Linked DNA regions of Coturnix japonica. The protein of the gene in region 1 purifies or fractionates together with the protein of each later gene. This does not show direct contact. Links are inferred from orthologs where the notes say so. Each region holds a gene or a part of one and is shown on either strand. Other genes may lie near its edges. The genes, in order: CDH8 and CTNNB1.

What was found.
Region 2: the proteins of CDH8 (region 1) and CTNNB1 purify together in Homo sapiens (co-immunoprecipitation; 3 studies listed by BioGRID and IntAct, counting the BioPlex papers as one, with this or other methods). This does not show direct contact. The link is inferred for Coturnix japonica from reciprocal best matches to the Homo sapiens genes CDH8 and CTNNB1.

What each region holds. Positions count from the first base shown.
Region 1 is NC_029526.1:11,335,337-11,346,636, forward strand, and holds part of CDH8 (cadherin-8), read left to right. Parts: coding exon 1-50; intron 51-2,787; coding exon 2,788-3,041; intron 3,042-6,575; coding exon 6,576-6,712; intron 6,713-11,300. UniProt on the Homo sapiens protein: Cadherins are calcium-dependent cell adhesion proteins. They preferentially interact with themselves in a homophilic manner in connecting cells; cadherins may thus contribute to the sorting of heterogeneous cell types.
Region 2 is NC_029517.1:39,926,962-39,936,912, forward strand, and holds the end of CTNNB1 (catenin beta-1), read left to right. Parts: intron 1-617; coding exon 618-737; intron 738-877; coding exon 878-1,028; intron 1,029-1,123; coding exon 1,124-1,245; intron 1,246-2,269; coding exon 2,270-2,330; intron 2,331-3,045; coding exon 3,046-3,254; 3' UTR 3,255-3,266; intron 3,267-3,577; coding exon of another isoform or gene 3,578-3,594; 3' UTR 3,595-4,365; downstream 4,366-9,951. Other genes in the region: serine/threonine-protein kinase ULK4, read right to left, coding at 5,499-5,583, 8,167-8,255. UniProt on the Homo sapiens protein: Key downstream component of the canonical Wnt signaling pathway.

The DNA.
Region 1 (11,300 bases):
AAATCACTACAGATGCCCAAACTCAGGACGGCGTTATTAGAGTGAGAAAGGTAAACTGGATCTCTTATATAAAACCTTATTCTAAGACTGTGTGAACATGCTGGATTTCCAAGCATTCTTTTATGTATGAATGAGATGTCAAACCACACTGATAAAAGTACAGCTGTATAAGCAATGTCCATCAGAGCTGCCATATAGGTGGCAGTTGGGAAGATTTCCATGGCAGCATTTTTTGTTCTGGGCATGACTTAATCTGCTTCAGGCTTCCTGAGTCCAGACACTGCTTCATGTGCTTTAATGATACTGTTTTTCTTCCTGGATTCTTAAAGGGAAGAGTAGATCAGAATTTGCTTTGTTGGCGATGTAGATTTTCCTAAAATCCTAAAATTTGATGAGTACTCATCAAATGCTTCTCTCACTCATTTCACTTCCTGTATTGCTGGTCAAATACTGCTTAGAGGGAAAAAAAAAAAGTATTGTACCTAATTATTTAAATTGCCTGATGTATAATAGGCTCAGTCTTCCAACTTTTATCTTGTTGAACTCTATTTGCTCAAGGAATAGTGATTTCAGTGAACTTTATCAAGTTTAAAATGAGAACTGTCAAATTTCGGCCCAAGGAAAAACTACATCTCTGTCTTTTTTTTCTGTGCTTACACAGTCTTGATGTACTTGAGATGTGGTATTTATGTGTACAGAACCAAAGGGGCATGCAATTGTATACATAAATACTGTGGGATGCAGCAAATCTAGAACACAGTGTGGCCAGTAAAGTCAATGATACAGTAATTGCAGGATTGATTTTTCTTATTTTCTGGTGTTGGAGAGGAGGGCAGTTACTCATGCTGTGTTCTAAGGAACGATTTGAGTATAACTCATAATGCTGGTATGGAGGGTTTAAAACATGTAGTGTAAAGGACTGTAAATGATTCCTTGTTTTAAATAAATAAAAACAAGTGAAAAAGAAAACATGACATTCCAATGAAAAAAAAAAAAAAAAAAAAGAGGAATCCAATGAGTACCACTAATGAATATTAAAGTTTTATCTGTGATTAAAGAGGTCAGACAGAAGAGCTGTCAGAATTTTATGTTTTCTGTTTCTCAGTGAGGAGGTTAGCACCCTACAAGAATAATAAAATGGTGTATATCTATCTAAATTTAGATCTATTTTCAAAAGAGTAAATCATGATATACATCCCTGATCTTCCTTATTGTGATTTATTGTATGTTGTGGCCTCCTTTGTAAACTAAAGCAATTAACCTTTTGCTCCAGTTCCCCAGACTTTATTTTATGCAGAGTCTCTCAGATAATGTTGTTTCATATATTCGTTTTGACAGCAATTATCATTTTGGTTCTACTGCAGCAGGTGATATATGTAGGGTACTATTCACCAATAGAATTTCTCCAGCACAAATTTGTGGGTTTTAGACAATTCAGACTAAATTTTCAATATGATAGCCTGATTAAGAATGGCTACATGCATTTAGGCGCACGTGAAATGCAATTAAAGAAATGATACAAGAGCTATGATTGGCAAATTGTGAATATGCTGATTTATAAATCACAATTCATAAGTATTAAAGCTTGCTAATTTAAGACCTACTGAAGAAGCATGGTTTTCTCATGTTTACTAGAGGTTCTGAGAAAAAGCAAATCCCATTAGACCTTGATTCATACCTGGAAAAAAATAAAATAAAAATCAACAAAATTCAAAAGTACACATATTTAATGCTTCGACAGAAAGAGATTTGCTATTCCTATTTGTGTTCTTGCTGATATTTGCATTGCAGATTCAGAGTTTCTATGTCTTTTTCTTTCTATCCCTGGGACATTGTAATGCAAATCTTAATATCTTTCCAGTGCTTGGCAATTTGCATCTTTGAAACTTGAATCATTGTGAGGCACAAGAGAATTATATACTGAATATACTGGTGTGCTTCAAGATACCAACTTGAATCTCCTATAATGAAAACTTCTATAATTCAGGACTGTTGCAGATTTGGTTTTTATTTGGTATCTCGTTTCTTTAAATCCACTGTGTTTTCATCCTCTGTGTTTTAATATGTAGCTGTAAAATAGTAAAAACAGTGGTGACATGGCAGGTATATTGGTAGAACAAAGTAATCAGTTCTATGTTTCTGCCTTTGAAAAAAATGTAAGATAAAGAAATAGGAATTGCTACAGTTGGAAGAAATTCCTGAGAGATGTCTGCCTCATTTACCCCTGTAAACAGAAATGTGGAGTTATCTGAAGTGCAATAATACTGAAATACATTCTTATATGATTAGCTTTTCCATTTGATGCATAATTTCATCATGTCCAACAAATAACTGCTAGATATTTGCATTTCTCGTGTAGTTCTGGAAATAATTAAATATTTATTCCTCACTGAGATTATATCCTGTATACCCTATTTTCTTATCTCCAACTAACAAAGCACTGATTAAAGGCACAATTATTATGCAAGTCACATCACCACCAACAAATTTGCTCTATTTATCTGGAATGTAATTGTAGTTGTATCATTCATGAAAGAGAGTATTGTGGTAAATTTATTGTGAAAAGCAAGAAAACAGTCTCTTGTTTCCTTTGAGGCTGGTTAATAAACATATATCAATATATGCCAAGAAAATTTGCAGGTTGAATTTCTGGGAGTGGGAAGTGCTTGCATACAAACTCACTGAATGTGCTTAAATGCACATAACTTTCATCCATCAGCATTATATTAATTTGCTCTTTCTCTGTGGCCATTAGTAAAAGACATTTATCTTTGTCATTCTTAACAGCCTCTGGACTTTGAGACCAAAAAATCCTATACTCTGAAGGTAGAAGCAGCCAACATTCATATTGATCCTCGCTTCATCAGTGGAGGACCTTTCAAGGATACAGCAACAGTAAAAATTGTAGTAGAGGATGCTGATGAGCCACCAGTCTTTTCATCACCTACATACCTACTGGAAGTGCATGAAAATGCTGCTATTAACTCTGTGATTGGCCAAGTGACAGCCCATGACCCTGATGTGTCTTCCAGTCCTATAAGGTAGTGCTGCTCTAAAGTTCTCACAGAAAAAACTGCCGGCAGAATATTAAGTATATTTTTCTATACACTGTATTTATGACGCTGTTCTCCCTCTGTTTTTGTTCTATAAAATACTTGTATAGGATTTTATCGCCTCATGAAGTTAGACTTATCAGTTTGTATCATTTTCAAAATCACTAAAATACTTCTTTCTTCACAAATAACTTTATCAAACAGTAGGAATGCAATGTAATTAAGAAATAAGAGGTAAGAGGTCTGATAGGTCGGATTTTCAATGTGTTTATTTTAAATAACCTCCTAGTTTCTACGCTAACAATACTGAGTTTTTTCCTTGCAGATGTAAGACTGTAAAACCATATCCAGTATTCATTCGACTAAACTCTTCTCTGGTTTTGTTAGAGGAAATCAGAAATCATATGACTTTTACATCTTCAGTTTGTGGTATTTCCCTTTTTTGACCTAACTTGAACAAAATATATTATTCCAGTTTCATCAAACCAGTGTCTCATTTCCATGATAAAGTTTGCCCTCCCAAGTTTGCCCTTACGGTTTGGTTAAACAGTGATGTGACTGTAACCAAACCATATTTTACTTCTATGCAGAGTACTGCTAAATGCATTATGAAACCAAACACCAAAGCATCATATTTAAAGTAGATTTGGAGGAAAAAAAAAAGGTGTACAAATGTGGTTAATAATTGGTTAGTAGACTTATTCCAGCATATGCATTTCAGAAGCATGTGGTGTTGTGTGCTCCAGGATCACCTCTTACCAAATATAGAACTACCAGCATCTCTCTTGGGAAAGGGACACAGTGAATTCAGCTGAGCTACTTGCAGAGCTTTGCTGTTGTTTAGTAAGGGTGGTAAATTCTGGCTTATTGTGTAATAACGCTTGGAAGTTTATCATCTATTAGCATACAGATCTACTGATTCCAGAAGTGCTTATTTCATGTTTCTGTTGTTATTTTACAACCATGGTCTTTTTATCTGCAGTAAATTATCTTGGATAAAGCTTGATCCAAGTGCATAGCATAAAGCATGAGTAATAATCTTTCTTCCTATACTGTCTCTGCCCTCCTATAAATCACTGCCTTTCAGTGTCTTTCTCTGTGGAGAGATAAGCTTCACAGTGGCAGGTTTTCCCCATTCATATTGGAAGAGATTTCATCTTTGGCAGTAGTGGATCATTTTCTTAATTCACAGCAGTCCTTAAAAACATGGATTCAATATTTCTGCCTCCCTAACGGTGCAGCCATTTATCTGTCACTAAGTAGCATGTCCTGTCTGCCTGTCATTAACTAACAGTTGTGATTAAACACTGATAGGGTATCAGACTTCTGATTTGAATCTCAGTATGTGCAGCAAAAAATAGTTTCTTTTCCTATTTACATTTGTGCAAATAAAGAATAGACCAAACTAAGTCATAACAGCAGTATTAATAATGCAGAAGGACTACGAATCACTTTAAGTTAAACCACTTTGGAGTTGTTCCTATAATTGCCACACCGGATCCATAATCTAACTGAAACTTCTCAATAACTTGTGCTGGTTTTATGGCAATTTGAAAGCAGATATTATTTCCCAGGATATTCTCTCATTTTTAGAGAAATGTACATTTTATGTTTAGCTTATGGATCTGACAATACACTTCCATTAAAAAGAGTTATAGTACAATAAGCATGGAAAGGAAACTGCAAATGTATTATTAGTTTTCCCACATTTATGACTTGGCAGATTTTTAATTTTATTTTATTTTGTACAGAATGTTTATCAAATTGAAATCAGGAGAGGGTTTTACCCATTTGTGGTCTCGTAAACCTGAGTAACTGATGTTACAAAAGTTTCTATTTGAGTGCTGTTTTTTACAATGTGAATAAATACTGTTGGGATGTGCAATATAACAAACTCGCAGATCTTCTGCTCACACTTCTTGTAACCTCAGAAAATGTACTGCAGGAAGACTGTAAATGAAAGTTTAAAAAGGCATTGATTCTTGGAGAAAAAATGTGTCTTATCCCAATGGAATTTACGTCAAGCCCAGGTCAACTAAATCTCATATAAACACTTCAAGTTTTTTTTCATTTATGGAATGGAAGAATTTCATAAAAGTTTGGTACCAGAGCTGTTGTGATAGTCATTCCTGCAGCCTTACATAAACTGCAAGAACTAAAAGATTAAGTTTAAGTAATGAGAACTTAAAAATAATTATCTCAAATGATGTATTTGTCTAATTTTCTTGAATGAAATTTTAGACTTGTAAGTTTGAACATATAATTCTGTATGATATTTTGTACTAACTTTACTAGTATCACAGTTTTCACTTGTAATACTCAAATGGGACCTAATGAGACATTAAAGTAAGGTTAAGATATGTCTTCGAGTAAGTTTGCCTAAGGATAGGCACCTGCAGTTTATTCCTCCACAGAAGTGACCTCATTTTCAGAACTGCTGAGAATGGCACAGTTTGTATTAAACTGTTGAGTACTGAATATGTGAAGTTGACTAGAAAATCAGTTTACTCAAATGTCCAAATCTGTGTGTGCCCAGCTTTAGGCACATACACTTCAAATTAGACTTCATATTTTTATCATACTTTTTTTTTAATAAAACACTTAAATTTTATGAGTAAAATTTGTTCTTCTGAGAGTTTAAAAGCAGAAAACTTCAGTGTGTTGCAAATCACACTTCCTAGTTAGATGAGGGTTTCATTCTTAAGTCCTATCACACCTTACCAGTGTGGTAGTGCTAGCCTTGCTAATAAGCACAATCTTTAAACACTTACACTATAACTTCAAACTAATTTTTGAAAGTGAGTTGTATTTAACCAAGTGCATTGGAAAGACATCTCAATGTAACATTATTCGGCCCTTTTTCAGCTGCATAATTTACCTGGGAATTTACATACAAACTCTGACTACCTGTCAGATCAAACTTGTTTTCTTAAAAATCAGAGATGCCAATCTATAAAACAATCATTCCTTCAGTATTTGAAGTGTTTTACAGATGAGCAGTGATTTACTAACTGATTTCTGCCCATGGACCCACTTGATTTGTAACCAAATAATTGCTATGGTGAATAGTTCTCACATCATTAATCTGAAGTTTATTATTAAAATAATATTATTCAAACTTTTCAAAAGTAACCATGAAGTCCACCATTTTTGTGTGCTTAATGCATTACACTTGAAATTATCGGGAGTTACTGTGAAATGCCATGGAAACCGTCTAATAAATGTGATGGATTATGTAATTAACTCTTGATCAACACTGTATTTCAAAGATGTTACCTATTGAACCTGAGGGGATTTTATGACCTGCATACTGGTTCTATACAGCTAATCACTCCTTGGGCAATAATTAATAATTTTTTTTAGTCTAAGTTTGTCATATTGTCTTATAAATTATTATTCTCTTGAACTTCTCTATCCATTTGGCTATAAAACTGCAGATCTCAGGGGGCTCCATAAAATGTATTGTGATTGTATGGATTCATTAACTTCATTAAGTAGATTACAGGGATGTCTGTTTTGCAGGTTTTCCATTGATCGTCATACTGACCTTGAGAGACAGTTCAACATTAATGCAGAAGATGGAAAAATAACTTTGGCAACACCACTCGACAGAGAAACAAATACGTGGCACAATATAACCATTGTAGCTACTGAGACTAGTAAGTATTTGTGTATTCTGAAGTTCTGTTGGTTTTATTCCCATTACTTCTAATAATGTGTGTAGTGGGAACAATATACAACACTAAAAAATGAAACACTGAATTTTTAAGTGCAATTCTTTTTTTCTTTTTTTTTTTTAAGAAAACTTAATTTTTGCTGAAGTTCCATTTCTTTTACTCTTCCAAACTGCTGTTTCAATGAAAAACCACATAGAGTTTGAAGAGATACATGATGACATTTGTAGAGGTTTTATAGGGTAAGTGAGGAAAACACATCACAGTGAGTTATTAGAAGACAGAAGAAATAAAGGTTTGCTACTGTGGAAGAAGAGAGTAGACTCAACCCAGAGATTCTTTACACTGAAAATATTTTGTTTCAATACAGTGAATGACTAAGCACGTGGGTAATAGTGAATGAAAGTAGCTCTCTTTGATGCCTATGAATAAATTTACTCATACACAGTCATAGACAAGAACACACAATGTTGAGACTAGTGAGTATGCCCAAGCCAGGTCACCCTGCCACAGAATGTGGGTCCTAGATTTCTATTCAAGAAGAGTTCTTGATTAATTTGTGCTGTTGGCTGGATCTGATGAGCCAACATAATTTATTATTAATATTAGTTCTATATTTTAGACTATAATTTTGGCAGTCATAGTGCAGCAAAAAACAGATTCTGGAAGTAGGTCTTTCATCTATCTGAAACATAAATAAGAAAATATTTCTGCTTAAGTATCTATTCAGCAATCAATATATATAAATGCATAATTCCCATAAGTACATGCACACTTGACACATTGTTGTAAGAAATTTGTCTTTAGAGCTTGATGAACTCTGGTGCTAATTCTTGCATATAGAAAACAAGATGATTTTGATGCTTTCTTTTCAAACAGAGTATAGTTTTTTGAGTATATAGTGTTATTATCCAAAACTTTTGGTGCTCAGTATCACAGTGCTGTACCTATGCATGTGTGAATGAATAGCAGAATAAAAGGTGGTTACTTGGCCCATACTGGATGATTAATTTTCCAATACTTTTCTCTGGTACTTGCTTTTAAATACAAACATATTAGGAATCAGTGAGGGATAACTGAAATGCATGCATATATGAGAAAGATATGTCTGAATATAAAAGAAGCTCTCCATTTATAACCTCTGTAAACTGTGTTCTACCTTAATAATCTGTGCATTTCATTGCTAATTAGTGCAATATTACAAACAGTGCCCCAATAATTACTATTAAATGTAAGCACTACCTTGATAAATTTGTGACAAGACTGGCAGGAAAGCCAAGGCAAGGCAGTAAATCTAATAGCATAAAGAAAGAAAGCTCCAGTGTTTTACAACTAGCAGTTTAACAATTGCCAAGTTGATATCAAGCCACTTAATAATTCAGCTGGTTTTAAACGAGAAAGGTAGAAAAATCTCCATACCAATTTTCTCAAGACTTGAGCAATGTCAGATTGTAGGACGTACCAATAGCATCAAGAGAATTATTGGTCTGTGATTCAAATCTTTTGAGACATCAAAAGATGTAAAGTGAAGTAATTCTACATTTTATTTGCTTCTGGGAGTCTAAGAAGGAAAAAATGAAAAGAATTTTTCAAGAAACTAATCCAGTTCTCTTCTTTGACCTGCCTTATATATGTGTGTATCAGAACAAAGCTAACAGAATTCCACTTTTCTAAGCCAGATCAGAATCAATTCTGCCTGTTCCTCCTTCAAATTTTAAAAATGTGATTGTATTTAAGAATTATGTAAGAAATCAGCCTTATCATTAAACTTTGTGGGGGCCTCAGCCCCTATCAGTGTTGTAAAATTGCTTCTTTTCAGACTGACCATGAAAATAATAATGCCAATCTAGTGCTTAACGTTCAAGTTCCTTCTTGTGACTGGATTGATTGAATTAGGTTTTTATTGTTGTATTGGTTTTGTTTTGATATTCCTAACATGATTATCTGACATTTACATAAAACAAGAGCTGAATTTCATAGCCTGCTATGACTGCTTCTTTAAGAGATGATATTATATACTACTAATGCAGAAACTAAATATGTTCATACAATTGTCAAGCAGGGTAAAATGGTCATTTTCATGTTTTTTTACAACACAGTAATAAGCAAGATCTCTGTTATAAAATAGCAGAAATCAGTTTAAGGCAGATACAAGCAGAAAATGAAAATGCAAACTGTGCAATCTCTGTGCTTTTACTGAGTGTAACATTAATGTACTGCTTACCTCTTCCATAAAAATAAATATATTGCTATCATTCATACAGGAACATTTTCTCTTCCTAACCAAGCTGCTGTCCAGATTCAGTTCAGGGCTCACCTGTATTTATATGGGCAATGATTGGGCCATTTCACTGCCATCACAGCTGCTTACCAATCATAAGTAGTGATATATTTCTTCATCATGATTGCCAACACGGTGGAATACATCCTGATTTATCAATACTTTCATAGACACCAAGTTTTGCCACAACTTAAATCACTTTTTCGGAACTTTCTGCTGGTACATTGCCTGCACCTTTATTTCTGCCTTAAGTGGAAGAAAGATCCTTGAAGTTTTCTGCTGTCACCATTACAGAGTTATTCTTTTGTATCAACCCTCAACCACTGTCCTGAATTGGAATCTTTCTGGGTAAGATTGGACTGAGTTGACTGAGATAACTTCTGTATTTTCACTTAGCTTGAGGATGGAGAGATTCAGATTCAGATAATTTTACATGCTACTTGATTTTAATCTTTCTGAGTGCTCAGAAGGTAAGCTAAACCTTCCTTGTCTAGCAAAACTAGGAGCAGAAACATGAAAGCATGAGCTAATTGGGACTTTTCAATGTAAGTACTTAGCAGACTAAAAAGTGATTTAGTTTATTTTCATTTACAAGAAGAATGTTTCCTACTCACAGGAACATTCTAGCTCTAATTCAAATATATTTGTGCTCTTGGAGTCACTTATAGTATTACCTTCATATTCTGAGACCTATTCAAAGTGATACATTTTGGAGGGTGGCATTTCCCTGCTTTCACTTTCCAATCACTGAAAGACTCCTAGCCTCTGTGAAGTGGTTTCTAATTGCTTTCATTGTATAGAATCATAGAATCATTTGAGTATGAAGGGACCTTTAAATGTCATCTAGTCCAATTCCCCTGCAATAAACAGGGACACTACAGCTCCATCAGGTGCTCGGTGCCCCATCCAGCCTGACCTTGTGCATCCATCATCTGTCTGGGCAACCTTTGCCAGTGCCTCATTACCCTCATACTAATCTTTTCCTTATAACCAGTATAAAACTCCCCTGTTTTAGGTTGAAACCATTTCCCTATGTCCTATTACAACAGTCCCTGCTAAATAGTCTATCCCCTTCTTTCTTATAGCCTTCATTTATATAATGAAAGGCCACTATCAGGTTTCCCCAGAGCTTTCTCTATGCTGAATAGCCTTAGCTCTTTCAGTCTGCCCTTGTAAAGGTGTTCCAGCCCTTGGATCATTTTTGTGGCCTTCCTCTGGATGTACTCCAGCAGATCCATGTGTCTCCTGAGGACAACACAGCTGGACACAGTACTCCAGGTGAGGTCACATGAGTGCAAAGCAGAGGACAGGAGCACCTCCCTTGACCTACTGGCCATGGTTGGTTTTTTTTTTTGTACTTCACCCCCTGATGATATCATTGATGATGATATTAAAGAGCACTGGCCACAGTACTCAACCCTGAGGGGCACCACTCTTCACTGATCTCCATATTTAATGAAAGTTAATGCTTACGTAGTGATGCCATTGTACTGATGAATTGTACCACAAGGATTGGTAAGAAATGTTAAAAGCCCCTTGATGTCTTTGAAAAATCACTCTGAAATACAGCTTAGAATTTACTGAAGAAATCCACAAACTAATGCTTATGGCAAGAGAGATTCTGGAAATTATTAAACCTCTGAATTGATTCTTAAATATTCTTTCTACGTTCACATGCAGCCAAGTTTACTCTGCTGAACTGGAGTGTGAGTGTCTAAGAGATCACAGCCTCTGTGAAGCAGACTCATTTGCAAAATGACTCTCCCTCAGAACATACTTTTTGGTCTGTGGATGTGAGAGGTGAACTTTGTTTTCTGTCACTGACTGGATTTTAAATACTGAATGAATGAGATTTTCCTTTGTTGTTGTTATATGGTTGAGACTTATATGACTAAAGGCTAAGGAGCTTACAGTTGTTTGCCATAGTTTTGAGGTTTTCTTAGCTGGATGCTTGAGAGAACAATGAATGGATAAAGCCTTGCTTTGTAAGTCAAGGCTGAATCTGCTTCTTTTTATGTTTGGGCCCTTTGGAGCTAAGTCCCAAACAGAGAACAAATCTGTGGGCATTCACAAGTATGCTCTGAGAGTCTGAATTGCAGTGCAATAAGTATGAATGATTAACTTACAGACATTTCTTTTGTTGTTGTTGTTGTTTTTTGTTTGTTTGTTTTTTGGTGGGTTTTTGTTTGTTTGTTTGTTTTTTCTCTCTCTAAATGTATGTATGTGTACAAAGGCATATCACATTCTTGTTATTTGGTACTTTTTTGACATGGAATTTCTGACAGTCAGGAA
Region 2 (9,951 bases), on another chromosome or scaffold:
AACTATGGGTTTTGGAATGTTGTCACAGCTTAATGTGTATTTTTTCATGCTTACAGCTGTATGAGTACAGAGAAATTGTCCAGGCTCCATAATTAACATACCTGGTTAGTGTGGCAGAATCAGTCTTGATTTTTCCCTCCACCTGTTAAACGTGCTGACGAAGGGGAAGTTACATTAGCATAGGCAAATGGAAGCAATACCTACCAGTACAGGACTGTAGTTAATACTTGCAAAGGCAAGCCAGTCAGAGCCTCTTCATCACTGATTAGCACTTTTGAACTTAGTAAACAGCCAAGCTAATTCAGCTTGGGGAAAAAACAACAGTGTTGTCAGATGTTAAGTTTATAATGAACTGGAAAAAAAAAAAGAGAGCACAGGGAGATGTTCCACTGAGGTGATTCACTTCCAGAATTTATCTGGATAAACTAGGCCAGGACTTAGCAGGGACGGTTTAGTTTGAAGGCCAGCAATAGGCAGTGGGTATTGAGGCAACTGGGGGAGGGATGTGTGCGCAGGAGACTGACCGATTCTTTGATAATGATCAGCTCTTTGACAGTTGTTTTAGGAGATAATGTTCAATATTTCAGCTGAAGTGCCTTTTCTTTCCCTGACTGTAGGAGGGTGTGCGCATGGAGGAAATCGTAGAGGGCTGCACTGGAGCTCTGCATATTCTTGCACGTGATGTTCACAATCGAATTGTTATCAGGGGTCTAAATACCATTCCACTATTTGTGCAGGTAAGCTGGAGCTCAAGAAAATGCTGTAGTACATACTAGTATAACTTCCCCAATGCCTTGTTGGTAGAACTGTTAATTTGCATTGTACTAAAGTTCTTTTCAAGCAGAAGAGTTAAAAGAAACCCTTGTTATGATTGCAGTTGTTGTACTCCCCCATTGAGAATATCCAGAGAGTAGCTGCGGGTGTACTTTGTGAACTTGCTCAAGACAAGGAAGCAGCTGAAGCAATTGAAGCTGAAGGTGCAACTGCCCCTTTAACAGAACTACTCCATTCTAGGAATGAGGGTGTTGGTAAGTGAACTTAAAATTAAGTTTCATACTTACTGGAAAAGTATCAAACATCAAAAGAATTGATGTTGACTAAATTCACTTTACTTTTTTAATAGCAACATATGCAGCTGCAGTGCTGTTCAGAATGTCTGAGGACAAACCACAAGACTACAAGAAGCGACTTTCAGTTGAACTGACAAGCTCTCTGTTCCGGACTGAGCCAATGGCTTGGAACGAGGTGAGTTGTGTCCTTGTGTGAATGGTAACTTGGGGAGACTTTACTTTCAAGTCCCTCTTCCTTCCAGTAGTGAAGTGTAGATGCCATCAGTGATATGGATTCAGTTTTACACATGTCTGTAGCTTCCTTACTCTTTACATGTTCATGTTCAGCTTGTAGGTTTGTAGAAAATGGTGCAAGCTTCAAATGTATACTCTTGTCCTAGGGCAGAAGTTTATATCTAAACAGGTGAAACTGACAGTTTTGGGAATTCATTACATAGGGCAAGAAACCTCTCTAGAACTACAGACTTGCTCAAGTAGAATAATGAGCGAGTAGCCTTAGAGCTGCTGCTTTAGTGCTTTCTTTTCAGATACAAAGAGTCTAAAGTTTAAGTCTCATTTTGCTCTGTGTGTAAGAACTCTGTAGGTCTCTGTGCTGCTTCTCATTTGAAAGGACAGCTCAGCAGTAATCTTTAGGAATTTCAACCAGTTCTTGCAGGTTGTCCAAACCTGATGAACTGATGATAGGATACAAGCATAACCATAACACTCCTCTAAGGACTCTTATTTAGCAAACTCTGTAGGACTAAGAAGCTTGGTGTGGGTATGCCACTTTTATGTTCTCATTAATTGAGAATTGAGCTCTCAGACTTGGAAGTATTTGCAAGCTATTACATGAAATTTTTTCATGCTTAAAGGCCAGCACAGTGAATTGAGACTGAAAACTGCCATTGGGGAATGTTTCACTAAATCTGTCTTTCCCCATATACTTACTTAACAGTCTTACCTTAATAATATGTAGTAGCCTTTGGTTTGTAGTATTTCAGTGTTCACCTCTGATTTCCTGAAGTCTGTATCCATCTAACATGTTAACATGAGAAAACATAGCAAAAATGGTGTATCTTTTTGAAATACAGTGCAGAAGAGTTGGTTAAAAAGAAAAAGGATTTATGGCAAGCTTTAGAATTTCTTAAATTCAATTATTAATGTTGGCCCTAAGACCTGATGTGAAAACTGTTCTGTATCTTTTTGTGCACATCTAGACAGCGGATCTTGGACTTGACATTGGTGCCCAGGGAGAACCTCTTGGATACCGCCCAGATGGTATGTCTGTTCCATTCCCCTTGACTAAGCTTAATATAAGTCAAGTCATTGACTGTAAAGGAGAACTGCAAATGGCTGAAGAGTAAATTACTCCTCAGCAAGATATTGCAAACTGACAGGCAGATGGGGAACTGCCAGTTCAAATAAGCAGTTTCTGCAACACCTCTGGCTGCACTGAAATGGGAGCCATATGAATGTGCAAAATTGGTGTCGCTTGTCTGAGTCTTGCAAGAGAATCTCCCACTGAGCTGCTGTTTCCAGAAATCTTTTAAATCCTTTACAGATGGACTTGACAATTCCAGAAGTGCAGTTTTTCTTTAAAACAAATGTTGGTATGGTATATATATTAGTCTTTAAGTGCCAGTAGACTTAAGTCTATTGCTATGGGTTCTGAGTCTGCAGCCTTGTAGCCTGGTTTTGCTGTAGTATTGTTGAATTTTAGTACTGTTGATTGTGCAGACTAATGGCTTGGCTGGAATCTGCTCGTGCTTCTGACTGCAGTTGCTTTGTCTGCAGAATCACACTGGAAGGCTGTTTCAAATGATGGAATAGCCATTAAGGGCAGGCAGCAGATCATTTGGAACTTGGCTGAACTAGAAAAACAATTAGATGGCTACAACAATCTTCTCACACACTGATACTTGCAGCTTCTGATGCATCTAACATCTGTTAACATTATGCTCTTTTTCCCTCTGCCACCTTTTAACTTTCTTAGATCCTAGCTACCGTTCTTTCCACTCTGGCGGATACGGTCAGGATGCCTTGGGTATGGACCCTATGATGGAACATGAAATGGGTGGCCACCACCCTGGTGCTGACTACCCAGTTGATGGTCTGCCAGATCTTGGCCATGCCCAGGACCTTATGGATGGGCTGCCTCCAGGTGACAGTAATCAGTTGGCCTGGTTCGATACTGACCTGTAAATCATCCTTTAGGTAAGAAGCTCCAATTGTGAATTTAAAAACAAAACAAAAAGAGAGAAACAAATTACTGGACTCAGGACTTGGTTGGCAGGGAGGGAATGGCTTAAATGGGTCCCAGTGTGACAGAATACTGAGGGGGAGGGGAAAAAATGCTCTGGAGACACGCATCAGTTTGGATTGTAGGAGTGTATGATTTTCTGCCGTGAGGTATGGAAGTAATTAACTGTAACGTCTTGTGCATCACCAGCTTTGTGCAGTCTTTATGTTGAAGTAACTTTTACTGAGGAACACTGACATTATTTTTCTGTTTTCCTTTTTTGCAGCTGTATCATCTGAATGAACTTGCATTGATTGGCCTGTAGAGTTGCTGAGAGGGCTCGAGGGGTGGGCTAGTATCTCAGAAAGTGCCTGACACACTAACCAAGCTGAGTTTCCTATGGGAACAATTGAAGTAAACTTTTTGTTCTGGTCCTTTTTGGTCGAGGAGTAATAATACAAATGGATTTTGGGAGTGATTCAAGAAACGAGGAATGCACAAGAATGAATTGCAAGATGGAATTTATCAAACCCTAGCCTTGCTTGTTAAAAATTTATTATTTTTTTTAAATCTCTGTAATGGTACTGACCTTTGCTTGCTTTGAAAGTAGCCTTTCTTTTCGCAGTAATTGTCGTTAGGTTTTTTTTTTTTAAGTCTCTCGTAGTATTAAGTTATAGTGAATATGCTACAGCAGTTTCTAATTTTTAAGGATTGAGTAAAGGTGTAGAACACTAATTCATAATCGCTCTAACTGTATTCTGAATAAAGTGTAACATTGTGTAGCCTTTTTGTATAAAAAAAACAAACTAGACAAATAGAAATGGTCCAATTAGTTTCCTTTTTAATATGCTTAAAATAAGCAGGTGGATCTATTTCATGTTTTTGATCAAAAAACTTTATCTGGGATATGTCTGGGTAGGGGCCAGTAAGAACTGTTTATTTGGAACCTTGTATTGGACAGTTTACCAGTTGCCTTTTATCCCAAAGTTATTGTAGCCTGCTGTGATACAGATGCTTCATGAGAAAAAATGCAGTTATAAAATGGTTCAAGATTAAAGTAAACTTTTAATTCGCTCTGTGTCAAGTTATTTCAGACTGTGTTGACAGGTCCTCCAAAACCTGTTCTCAAATTGTGCAATGCTTTCACTACTTCAAAGGCAGAAACCAAGAACTGCTCCCCTTCTCCATCCCACCTGGCGGCTGCTCTGTCCTTTGGAGATCACGGTTAGAATCATGGAGGCTTCCTCCCACAGTATTTTTCCCCTTTCAGGTTCCTCAGCAAGGCAGCTATGCTTAGTGTAGCATGCAGGAGAAGGTCCTTCACTTATAAGTGCTCAGCTGCTCCACTAGCTTTAACTCAGCCTGAGATAGGACCTGCATGCAGCTCACCTTCTCTAGAGACAGCACTTGTGCAGATAGAAGTAGGTAATGCTGTTAACAACTGCTGGATAATTTATAGACTGTGCACATCTGCACTCTGCAGCTGTCACCAGCCTCTGCCCAGAGTGCTCATCCTGCCTCTCAGAGCAGATGAGATCACAAGGGGAAAAAGCTATAAAGGATCACAGCTCCTGGTAGCATCCCAAGGAGATGAGAGCTGAAGCAAGCTACAAAAGGGTGCTCTCCTTTGCTTATGGAGTAGACAAACTGCAGCTATGCTGATGTCTCATTGAGTAACATCCAGGGATATGGCAATGAAGGGGATTTCATTTCTTATGCACTATGGCATCTACCAGTTCTGGAGGACTACTGCTGGATTTTATCATATGGACATGGCATGTACACACACACACACAGCAAAGTATTTTTAGTAAAGAGGTATAGTCTAATGCACATCACCAAGCGTAAGACAACCCCTTAAAATGACCAGCCAGGCCCTTCAGCTGATCAGCAAGACATACACAAGCATTTCTGACGCCTTAAAGTAGTGAAACAACTAAGCTGTTTATTTTATTTACACTTCTCACACTGGCTATCAGGTACTTGTGCTACATCACACAATGCCAGCAAGGTGAAAATAGTAATCAAGAATTCACCCAGAAAGAGCTTGAAAAAAGGCTGTTCCTTCTGGAGAAGCCAAAGCTGTGCCTGTGCTCAGACACTGGCGGAGTGAGTTAGGTCTGCTCTGCTTGTGTGAAGATGTTGATTCAGGACAGCTCTGAGCATCACACACAGCTGTGTATTTCAGTGGGCTGATCAGACGCAGTTCACTTGGTTGGCTTTGGATTTTCACGTGCTACTGTTCTCAGAATTTCAGATGCCAGGGATGCAACAGCAACATCAGCATGACAGCTGGAATTAAAGAGAGTGACAGAAAGCTCTTACGTATTCGCAAGGGAAAAACTTGTTCAAATCCCACACTTGCCATTATCTATGCTGGGAAATTCTCAGCATCGCCCATTGAGTAACTTGAACCCCATTTTCCTGTTGAGCAGGAGGAACACACAACTAGTGGTTCTGTCCTGCAGCACGTCTTGTGTAAAAATGAGTTCCAGTTTAAATTCGCAGTAACTGCTGCCTTGCTCAATCTCCTCCGTGAACGAGAAGAAAGATAAAATCTATCCTGTCCCCATGGATCCTACGCACAGCTTGACAGGAAAATGACTCCGCTTCTGCTTTCTCCCATACAGAAACAAGCAGTTTTTTTTAACAGGCTGCCATCCTTCATGATTAACTCAGGAAGTAACAGCAGTAGGGCAGCTCGCAGCTTCCCTTGTTGCTGCTAATGGCAAACACCCGCTGACACCTCATCTTCTGGGGAACACAATACGTGCCCATGAAACCCTGGTGATCGGTACACAGCATAAACCAGTTTCTTACCAGAACACTCAGTTGAAACAAACATGTTGGCAACTGAGAAATGCACTGCTAAGATCCCACATTTAAAGTTCAGGTTGAATTCCACCTCACTACTAAGCATGATGGGCTGGTTACATACCAACCCCAAGGCTGCCTGTTCCGACTAGCCAAGAATACGTAACAGAGAGTTTGGCAAGAGGCAGCTGCTACAAGGTGGTGGGAGAGCACCGAGAGCAGCTTGCTGCCCAGCTGTGCCTCTGCCCTGTAATGGCACTGCTTGCTTGTTGTATTCCTTCCGTTGCGCTGAAAGAGGAGAAACCGGTCTGTGAAAAACAAGCGAAGCAAAAACACGCCTCACCCACTCTGCCCTAGTGATGGTATGTGGGTGGCAGGGCCTGGGAGTTCAGACTGCTCGTGTTTCCAACTCAGCAAGAAGTTCAGAAAGGCTTCTTACCAGGGTTCAAAGCACAGGTGGGAAGAGCAGGCTGAAGTGAGTAGGTGACAGGGGATACTCTAGGGAAGATGGCACATGAGCGGGAGTTTGAGGGCATGGCTTAGCATCCATAATGTCCATATACAAAATGGCCAGTTGGCTAATGTTGATTGAGCATGCCAACCTTTTCCTGTCTATTCTGTAGGCCATTTGTTGCTGCTGGAGTCTATCACAGCCCCCCAAGATGCAGGCTGGATCCCTCCCAGGCTCCTCAGCAGGTGAATAGACAAGGATGTGCACCCCTCAAAGAATGGCAGGAGGGAAAAAGAAATCCGTGAGCTCCTGGGAGCCTTCCTGCCACTGCTACAGGCAGAGGAACCTGATCTGTCCTAATAATACCAGAACACTACAATTTGGTCTCCTGAGCATCTTGTGTCAAACAAGAGAGACTGCTGCTTATTTTGGACTCCATAGCATGTGGTTTTCTGAGTACAGAAACGTGCAGATAGATAGATAACAATTAGAGGAAGTCAGAGAGGCAGACTCAGAGCCAGCTGGTGGATGGGCTGTGCAGTGCATCTAGCGCTGAAATGCAACGAAAGAGATGGAAAACGTGTTCTAAAACAAGAAAAAAAACTTCCTTCCCCACTGTTACACCGCTGTCATCTTCAGTGGCAGTGCCAGTGTCTCCCTTAGGGAGAGCTGTCCTTTTATGTTAGTTGGATAATTTACAATATCATACAAAAAACGTGAGTCAGCATCTGAGGGAGACTCAGGCTGTTCAGGATGGGCTTGGTGTGTCCCAGCACACAGCAACTCACACTCACCACTTCACAATCATTTCCTCTCTACTCACGTCCCTGCTCCCAGCGCAAGGTGACATCAAGGAGTCAGCCCAGCAACCCACACAGTCTGTGTTTGGGAGCACAAAGAGAACTGCGCAGACCGACTGTTTCTATAAAATACAATCTCTGACTTATTTTGACCAGGAGCAAAATGCAGCCTAACAGCAGAGAACAGCAATTCATTCCTTTGTATACCCAAGGGGGGGATTAGGTGAGGGAAAGTCCAACAGAGAGCAGCTGAGGCCTGCCCAAGCTGCTGGGACCAGCACCTCTGTTCCTGCAGAGGAAGCCCTGGCAGTGCCCGCAGCCTTGTGCCTTTGCTGGGAAGCCACAGGTATTTGCAAACAAAAGCATCTCTGTTCTTTAGCTGCATATTTAGAAGAAAAAATAATAATAATAAAAAAATCAGCTTGCAAGCATACCGCACAGTTTGGTTACTTTAAAACAGGGCACAACTACCACATTGTGCATCTCGCCCACTGTGCCAAGAAACATGGACCGGTATCCGGTTATAAAAGAGACTGATTGTTTGAAATGAAATAAAGTAAAAAAAAAACACAACAACCACCCAGTTTAACATGACAGATGTGCACCAGCACGGGCTGGCGGTGCAGCTGACTGTGGGCAGCCACAGCTGGGATCAAAGCGGGCCACAGATCCGCCACAGAGCCCTGATGGAAGGGGCCAAGGGTGGAAACCTGAGGGGCCTCTACTGCAGGAGGCGATGCCGGGAGAAGTCATGGCAGACGGGAGGCAGAGCTCCCATCCTGAAAGCCCCCGAAGCCTGAGGGGACGCACCTGGTGGGCTGGGCCAGGCTCTGCAGAGTGCAGAGCAGAGCATCGCCATCACTCTTCAGGCTCTCCGAGTGCTTCTCGTTTGAAGTTATCTGGAACGAAAAGAAAGAGGGCTTATCAAAGGCAGAGAAAGAAATTCCTCTCTGTCATTTTCTGCGGGATAGGGAAGGAGGAAACAAGTTACAGCATTTGTTACCCTTGTAAATGGAATGTGACATTAAAGAGACTCAAGAGAAAAGTCCCTTTTAGCAAACAAGGCTGAAGTTTAGGCGCAGGCTGTCCAAAATGTCTCAGCTTAATTAACAAAATCCGCTCTTTTTCTGAGCGCCTGTATATGTGTGAGTTCACACATCACAGTCTGCCGACCCTGATTTCATTCTTAGGACCACTGCAAATACAAACCTCATTGATTCTGAATTCCAGGGGGACCCGAGGAAAAACCAGCCAAGCCTGTACCAGTCTTAACATCAGGACACGTAGGATTTTCTCTGGTTGAAAGTCACTGCAGTGGTAACAGCTGTATTTCAGTTGTTTCTTGCCGCTCACCGTTCATTATGAATATTGCCTGCATAGAGCTGTCTCCTACAGAGCACGCTATGAATGAGCCAGCCTGTATGTCCTTCAGTATCAAGAACATCATCAGTTCCTGCTTGCAAAGGTAAGTAAACATGGGCCAAACAGAAAGGAAAAGGAGAGGATCAGAGCAGCTGATTATTTTGATACTGAAGGAGTTAATGCCTGAAACAGCAAATTCTAATCCCAAAATCTGGCAAGGACTTTTAAGCCTTAGCATGCCATGGCTGGTCCTATTTACCATTGATCAAGCAACACGTCTTTGAGTCTCCCTCTTAAATTACCTGAGAAGCTGTACTTAGAGCTGCCACCCCCACCATTTATCAGCAGTGATTCTCAAAGGCTACAGCTGTAATCAGAACATCCTGTTGTTAGCAGGAATAGGGATCTGTCTGCAGTACACTAACATCTATCCCGCGTGTTGGGGAAAAAAAAAAAGAACAGTGACCTCATTACCTAAGTATAAATCATTAGTAAGTTCTGATTACATGTTATTGGGCATTTTTACTCTCCTGAGGTCATTTCTGAACCCTTTGATGTATATTTCAGCAATCCATCATATTTCAGTAATCCATTTGTCTTGAATTCAAATCCCGTAGCTGAAAAAGATATTTTGTAATCCGAGTTCTGAATTTCAGGACCAAGACACACAGCTGTACCAGTATGGCTGCTGAGAGAGGGAACTGCTCCAACCAAAAGACACAGCTGTTCCTTCCCAACGCGGGCTCCTAGTCTCTGCTAAAAACTTCCAACCAACTCTGAGGTACCCCTCATGCTCGTCCCCCCCATTTATCCCACATACTTGAAGGAGAAGAGGTCACAGGAGAACAGTCACTGAAACTTGGGTCATGCTTCATGGAGTTAAGATGTCAAATACAGGCTACTGGTATCTCTAGTTCTAATAAACCCTAATGCTTAGGTGCTGAAATCTGTACCACCTCCGTGTTCTTTTAACAACTTCTCCTTTGTGCATTACACATCAACCATTCAGAATACATTCAATTATAAAACCTTATACCAGATTTTGTTTTGTTTTCTTTTTCTCCTAATTCTGAAATGCTCTACTTCAAATAATGAGTTATCCCTATGGAATTACAGGATCTGACTACAAGTTTGCCTGTGTTGCAGCATGCCTTGTGCCATTATTATCATAGAATCACAGAATGGTTTGGGTTGGAAGGGACCTTAAAGCCCACCCAGCTCCAACTCCATGCA